Linked DNA regions of Cricetulus griseus. The protein of the gene in region 1 purifies or fractionates together with the protein of each later gene. This does not show direct contact. Links are inferred from orthologs where the notes say so. Each region holds a gene or a part of one and is shown on either strand. Other genes may lie near its edges.

What was found.
Region 2: the proteins of Mlf1 (region 1) and dnaJ homolog subfamily B member 6 purify together in Homo sapiens (affinity purification with mass spectrometry; 3 studies listed by BioGRID and IntAct, counting the BioPlex papers as one, with this or other methods). This does not show direct contact. The link is inferred for Cricetulus griseus from reciprocal best matches to the Homo sapiens genes MLF1 and DNAJB6.

Annotation. Positions count from the first base shown.
Region 1 is NW_023276806.1:85,663,191-85,666,563, reverse strand, and holds part of Mlf1 (myeloid leukemia factor 1), read left to right. Parts: intron 1-2,209; coding exon 2,210-2,348; intron 2,349-3,373. UniProt on the Homo sapiens protein: Involved in lineage commitment of primary hemopoietic progenitors by restricting erythroid formation and enhancing myeloid formation.
Region 2 is NC_048601.1:92,979,855-92,984,213, reverse strand, and holds the start of dnaJ homolog subfamily B member 6, read left to right. Parts: upstream 1-1,367; 5' UTR 1,368-1,524; intron 1,525-2,502; exon of another isoform or gene 2,503-2,861; intron 2,862-4,359. UniProt on the Homo sapiens protein: Has a stimulatory effect on the ATPase activity of HSP70 in a dose-dependent and time-dependent manner and hence acts as a co-chaperone of HSP70. Plays an indispensable role in the organization of KRT8/KRT18 filaments.

The DNA.
Region 1 (3,373 bases):
AAATTATTTCTCAAAAGGTAAAATAGTAGCTTCATTTCTAGAACTTTATGAATTCTTATTTTATTAGGATAGCTTATAAGGAATGTATAGGAAATGCTGGGCAGAGTAATTCAATTGTGATTCTATCATCTAACATTTTTACAATTACTTTTGTTAAGGTCAGGTACTATTTACTTTTCTTATAAAATGATAGAATGAAAGATTTTGAGTTGTTTTTTAGTAATATTATCAATAGACAAAAAGAGTTTTTACTTTTTTGATTGTCAAGAAACATACTTAAAAAGTTTAAAGAAACAAATAAAAATCAGTTCAAACCAGTCCCAAAATAACACTCAAGTTTTGATAAATTTTTTAATAGTTTTATGCATAAACATGTTTTTTCAAATTGATATTTTGCTATTTTGTTCATACTATGCTCAATTTATCTTACCATTGTAACCACAAACACCTATTATTTTTCAAAAGTATTCTGTTACCTAAAAGTTTGTAAATAGATCATAATTTAAAAGATTTTGTCTAAATATTAATAATCAACCTTTTATGTTTTAATTGAAATTAAAATTATTGAAATGTCACTACATTTATTTCATATTTTCAGGAAATACTTTGAATAATGTTTTATCATGGTAAAGAGCTTAATGTATCATTTCAGAGAAAAGAAGTTTTTTTAATTAGATAAAAACTAATATTATGGGCTGGTGGGATGGCTCAGGGGATAAGATATGCACTTATTACCTAACCTAACAACTTAAGTTTAACCCCCAGGGCCCTACATGGTTGGTTATGCAATAAAATGAAAGCCAAATAACTTGAGCTTTTTTTAACTATAGTAATTATGATCTTATTAAAATATATAGAGGTGCCTAGAGAGATGATTAGTGGTTAATAGCACATATTTCTCCTCCAAAGCACTTGAGTTCAATTCCCATTGTCAGGATATAGGGAGCAGAGGAAGGCCTGAGTGAATGAAGTCCTAAATGATTGTATATCATTGATGTAGACACAGCCATGACAAGGACCAAGGCCTCAGACCCATGAGAAATTGGCCTAAGGCATTCCCCAGTGGTTCAGCCTAGGAATTGACAAAGCCTTCTTCTTCTCGTCCAAGTGTGAATGTTTACAGAGGATTAATCAGTGTGTACAAAAAATAGCAACTTCAGCTTCCTCCTACACACACACACACACACACACACACACGCACGCACGCACGCACGCACGCGCACGCACGCACGCACGCACACACACACACACACACACACACACACACGCACACACACACACACTCTGATGCTCAGTAAAAGGTTCCAGGTTGTTGACTGGGTGTAGTTGGTGCCACTCAAGCAAAGTGCTTACAGCCTACCTGAACCCAGCTTCTCTCTCTCTCTCTCTCTCTCTCTCTCTCTCTCTCTCTCTCTCTCTCTCTCTCTCTCTCTCTCTCTTCTCTCTCTGTGGTGTGTGTGTGTGTGTGTGTGTGTGTGTGTGTGTGTGTGTGTGTGTGTGTGATTTCTTTGTTCCCTCTCCAGCCCTATTTAGGGTTCAGGGCCAACCTATGCGGGTTGTTACATCATCAGGTGGCTCACAATTACCTATAACTACAGTTCCAAAGAGATGCCTCTGACTTCCAAGGGCACCAGCACTTGCATACCCACACACATATCATATGTACATATATATATATATATATATATATATATACCCTAAGTATCAATATATTGGAAAGATAAGTTTAACATATTTTTATAAAGATAATCTAAAAGAACAAGAACAATCATCTATGTGTTTGTTATTTTAATAGAAATTAGCTTATCTACTTCATGACATCAGAAATTAATAGTGTTCGGAAATTGACAACAAGCTTAAGAAGGCAAGTTAGGATCATGAAGAAGTGAATAGAAATGCAACCTACTGAAAGATTGTCCAAGAACATGGGACATCATGATCATTTTGAGATGATTCAAGAGGAAAGTTCGTAAATGAGTGTACTTGATTCATCCAATCCACATAGAATAATAGGATAATCAAGAAGATAAGTGAAAAACCATATTTACCATAACCAGATAGTCCTTAGGAGAGCAACAAGAAAGGAAATATTGCAGATGCATCCTGCCTCTGTTGTAACATTAGACTACATGAAATGTGTGGTGACCCAAGGTGATGCTGACAGTAGAGACCTAAATACTTGTTCCCTTTATTTTGACATTTTATATAGGTGATGCTCATTCTTTTGATAATGAGTGGAAAAGTGAAGTTTTGAAGTTCAAGCCTAGTGGACGACCATGCAATCTAGAAAACACTAGAATTCGAAGTGTGGGTCATGATAATTCAGGGCCACGAGAACTCAAAAGGAGGTAAAAGTTGTTTCTAACAGTGTGCTCTTAAAGGGTATTTAAAAGTTATGTACTGTGTGTTGGGGAGATAGCTCATTCAGTAAAGGTAATCTCATGTAATCTCAAGGACCTGAGTTTGATCACCAAAACCTGTGTTTAAAAAAATAGCCAGACAGAGTAGCATGCACTTGTAATCCAGATCCCTGAGTCTCACTGGCCAACCAGCCTTGCCTATCATTTGAGTCATAACCTAAAGAATGGTAACCAAAAATCTTTATGACCTGTACAAGTGCACATGAACATGAACCTACTCACTCATGTATTCTTACCCCACCCCCACAAACATACAACAACAATTTTATGTAACTACCTCTTATCAGGTTCTTAAGAATATTTAAGTTGTATCTACAGAATCTTTTTGTTTGTTTGTTTTATTTTTTGAGACAGGGTTTCTCTGTGTAGCTTTGGAGTCTATTCTGGCACTCACTCTGTAGACTAGGCTGGCCTTGAACTCACAGAGATCCTCCTGCCTCTGCCTCCCCAGTGCTGGGATTAAAGGTGTGTGCCACCAACACCTGGCCTCTACAGTATCTTTTAGGAAAAAAGTAACAACTTTATATTGAGTCTTAAGTACTCCATGTAAATCAAAATTTTGTTTCTAAAAGCAAATAAATACTATTTTAGAACTATTCTTAATCATCAGGGCAAAAATAGAAGATAAAAATCCTTAAGAAATTTTATATACTGTGATGTAGTTATCTTGTGATACAACTCCTAATGTGAATATTCAAAGTCATACATGTCACACCAGGTTAAGATATTTATATAGACACTATAAAAGGAAAGGATTGTATTTAGAAAACTTAACTTCCTTACCAAGTCAAAATCCAGCATTTAATTATTAATGAATTTTAAATACTTTCACAGTATGCAAAAGTATTATGTAAGTATTTCATGAAATATGGTATTTTATGTGCACTAGATATGTGCATTTAGATATATTTTACAAAAACTTTTATCTTCTTTGAAATTGCTTTTGGAATAAC
Region 2 (4,359 bases), on another chromosome or scaffold:
GACAGGGTTTCTCTGTGGCTTTGGAGCTAGCTCTTGTAGACCAGGCTGTTCTCGAACTCACAGAGATCCACCTGCCTCTGCCTCCCGAGAGTGGGGACTGAAGGCGTGCGACACCACTGCCGGACGACCTGTTGTAATTTTTATCTAGCAAGTCTATTAAATAGATGTGCAGTAGGCACATTAACAAAAGAAAAGTATATACGATATTGTGCTCAGGAGGACAGCACATGAACATCAATATTCAGAACTCTTGTTAGCGTTAGAAGCTTATAACTTCTCCACCGGGGAGATGCGCAGAGGGTGTGGGCAACTGAGAGGAATCAGCCAGAGCACGGGACCCTTAGAGTCAGGGCAGACTGAATGTGGTATTGACCTTAGTCCCTAAGGCTAAGGTCTTAGTTTCGGAGGTTGAGCCTTTAGGTAGATGAGCCACACTTGGGGAAGCCCCACTGAAACTGCTGTTTCTTATTACTGAGCAGAAGAAATGTGCAAAATGCCTTCTGTCCAGCATCTCGGGTAAACTGAGCCTGGTGGAGGTTTGTAAAACAAAACCTGCAATTCCAGGGACTTAACCGTTTTGAGCTGGAAAGTTCAAGGTCAGAGGTTGAAACTCAAGAGGCGCCTCATCTTAAAAGAGGGCGGGTTTGGGCCCTCGGGTACAATGTTCGGTTAGCCTGTGCTGGGCCTTGGAGGGGTCAATGTTTAACATTTGGGAAAAAGATTTCATTCAACGGAAAGCCAAAGGGGGTTAAAAGAACAGGGGAAAAACATCCTTTGTGGTGAGAAGGTCGTTGAAAATCAGACAGTGGATTCTATTGGCATTCCATGCTGGTGATGACCGGGTCTCTCCTGCTCCAAATAAGTGATGAAGTTTGGGGACAGGGACACCAAGGAGGATCTCCTAAATCGGGGCTGCTTGTCGGCCTGGCAGAGCCTCAAGTGTGCGAGCCTTTCCTCCAAACCTCATGACTACAACTCCACGTCCACAGAGCGTGAGTCACACGAAGCTATCTATCTGGTCGCTCGCTATCTGCGAACTTTATGGGTCAGTTTCCACAGAGGCCGTGAGCGTCCTTCCTCCCAGTCTGCTTCCGGGCAACCGCAGGCCCCGGGGCCAGTCAGGCAGGCTCGCCCGGGAGTCGCCGCCGGCTTCCGGAGGTCTCCAAACCGAGGGTTAGCGCAGGGTGGCGCTTCCCGCTCGTTCTGCTTTCTCGACTTCCTCCTTAGCGACTCCACGGAATCCGCGACCAAGGCTGCCAGGTTCTTCCGAGTGCGAAGGGGGCGCTTTCGAATCCGGCACGAGCCCGAGCCGGTAACCGCTGCTGCGCATGCGTGGCGTCAGGACCGGGCGGAAGTGGACGTCGCCGCGCCGCCACCGCATGACGCACTTCCTGTTTGTTGTTGGAGAAAAGGAGAGAAAGGAAAGCGCGAGGAGACGCCGCCACCGCCGCCAGCGCAGCTGTGCCAGAGCCGCGAGGAGACCAGCCGCCCGACTTCCCCCCCTCGCCGGCCGCCGCGTCCTCGGTGAGGGGCTGCGGACCGGGCGGACGGCAGGGTCCACTGCGCGGGCGGGGCGGGCCGTCGGCTGGCGCGGGTAGGGTGACCTGCTCGGCGCCTACACACACACACACGGCCGCGGGGACGCCGGCCCGACGGGGGGCCGCTCGCCAGGGCCGGACGGGCGGGCTCCAGTCGGAGCGGCGGCCCGGCGTCGCGGCCCGAGGCCTGGGGCTTTCCTGGCGTGGGCCGGGTCTAGACCGGCTCGGTGGAGAAGGCCGTGCCGGTCCGCTCAGGCCTAGCCGGCCCCGGCCGGGCTCCGCTCCCTGCCTCCCGGGGCTGTAGTGGCGGTTGGGCCCGGCACGCGCGAGCTCCGCCACAGGGCCGCGGGAGGCGGCGAGGCCGGTGTCACCCTGTCCTGGCGTCCCCAGTGCATTCTGCAAGCGAGGGGGTCAGGTGGCAGGCGAAGAGGAGCGGGGCTCGCCGGGGAGGCGCGCTCACGGGCTCAGGCTGCCGGCCGGGCTCTCCCGGCCCAGGACTGTTGGGAAGTTTTGCTAGGCGACCTGACTGGGCGCCGTTTACTTTCAAAACCCGTTTGCTGTTAGCCTTCCAGGGTGCCTCGCTGTGGGTTTATGTAACTAAAAGTTTATGTAACTGAAGTTTACATTAAGTCTTAATTCGCTTCGGTCCTGTGGAAAAGGGAACCCTACGCTGCAAGCCTTAAGATTGTCCTGAAAACAAAACAAAACAAAAACAAAAAACTGGGGGGGGGGGCTGGCGGTTTTTATTTTATAGAATGAATTGTTAGACATTTTAAAACTTGTTTACCGAAGTTGTGTGTGAATTGTCGAAAGGGAACGGAGGGGATGGTCCCACTTTCTCAGGCACGCCCAAGCAGGTGGAGAGTGTAGGTCCAATGCACTCACTTTGTTTTTATTAATGTCTTTATTTGAACCATAGATTTGTGGTCAGGTTTTATGGCTAGTAAGTCCACTGTATCCCCCTTTCTAGGCCCTGCAATCCTGGGAATTGAACTCCGTACTTACTGCTTGCTAGGGGAGTGATGGCTACTAAAAGCCAGCTACTTTAGTAGAAAAACTAGACTTAAGCAGCCAAGAAGGGAACGGCCCTAACGAAAATGCATCCTAGTCGTTGAACGTTGGTCGTGAAGTAATTGAGCACATCTGTTACGGGACTCTCTTTGGGAAGTTCTTTGGCAATTCCCACCACAGGGGGAATTGCCCTCCGGTGTGTGATTACTACGCCGCCAGTGATCAGTGCAGACACTTGCCGTGAACTGCGAGTGGACCTTTGGAATTAGAAGAAATAAGAAATCTGGGAAGAAATATGCTGCCTTTGTGTAGGTACGGGTTGATTTGATAGAAAGGAAGAAATGTTTGTGATTTCTCTTCCCATCACTTTTTCCACAGCAGACTTTGGAAATTTTGGCTTTTCATGTGTTTGCTTTTTGAAGAAGTTGGCATTGTGTTTTGCTTTTTTGAGACAGGAGTTCTGTGTAGCCCTAGGCTGTACTGGAACTCACTCTGTATTGAACTCTTGAGATTTGCCTGCCTCTGCCTCCCCAGTGCTGGAACTAAGGGGGTGCCTCACCACACCCCGCTAAGAAGTTAGCTCCCACTTTGTGTGGTTATGAAGCGAGTGTTACAGCACACATGTGGGAATCCTCCATCCATCAGTCTCTCTTCTGCTAGTTCCAACCCTCTGCATTTATATAGCTCTACAGTACCATATCTGAATTAATTCTTTTTTGTTTTTTAGATTTTAGTCTCTCACTTGTAGCTCTGGAAATCAGTGGTCAGTTTGACTCTGCCTCCCGAGTGCTGGGATTAAGTTGTTGTTTTGTGTCTCTCTCCCCCACCCCCCACCCCGTTTTTTTTTTCTGTCCTCTTCATTTTCTTTTGGGTACAGGGTTCATTTTTTTTTTTTTTTAGCTCTAGCTGGCTTAGAACTTGGTATGTAGATTAGGCTAGTCTGGAGTTCACAGATCCACCTGTGTCTGCCTGTAGTGTTCAACCATGCCTGGCCCAGAGTACAACTTTTGGAGTCAGTTCTCCTCCTTTCATGGATTACTAGGGTGGAACTCAAGTTGTCAGACTTGTGCGACCAAATTATTCGGCCAGTTGACCCAGCTCCACAGCTTGAGAAGTTGGCCTCTTTTTGTCTCTGAGACAAGTCTCCTCTGTGTAATAGTGCTGGCTGTCCTGGAACTTGCTCTGTAGATCAAGTTCCTGCCTCCTGGAGAAGTGAAAGATGGAATCATATCACCGAGTTTTAGGGTGGACACTGGCGGTGGCACCCCCCCCACCCCCCATCCCCACCCCCCACCCCCACCCCCGACAGGGTTTCTCTGTGTAGCTTTGGAGAAGCTGGCCTCGAACTCAGAGACCCGCCTGCCTCTGCCTCCTGAGTGCTGGGATTAAAGGCGTGCGCCACCAATGCCCAGCTGGCACACACCTTTCATTCCAGCACTGGGACAAACAGGCAGGATGGTTTCTAGTTTAAGGCCAGTTTGGTTTTACTGATGGAGTTCAGGACAGCCAGGGCAAACACAGAGAAACCATCTTGGAAAAAAAGAAAGAAATCATTTCTTGAGGCAGAGACAGGCTAGTCTCCAGAGTTTGAGGTCAGTAAGGTCTACATAGAGAGACCCTGACAAAAAACAAAACAGAAAGAAAAACTGCCTTTAATTGTAGTGTGGGTGGGGGGGATGGTGTGGATTGGAGGCTATTCTGGTCTACAGAGCGAGTTTCAGGACAGCCAGACCTACACAGAGAAACCCTATCTCAAATAACCAAAACAAACTATGCATTTTTTTCTTACTGGTATCAGCATTAGGTGTAT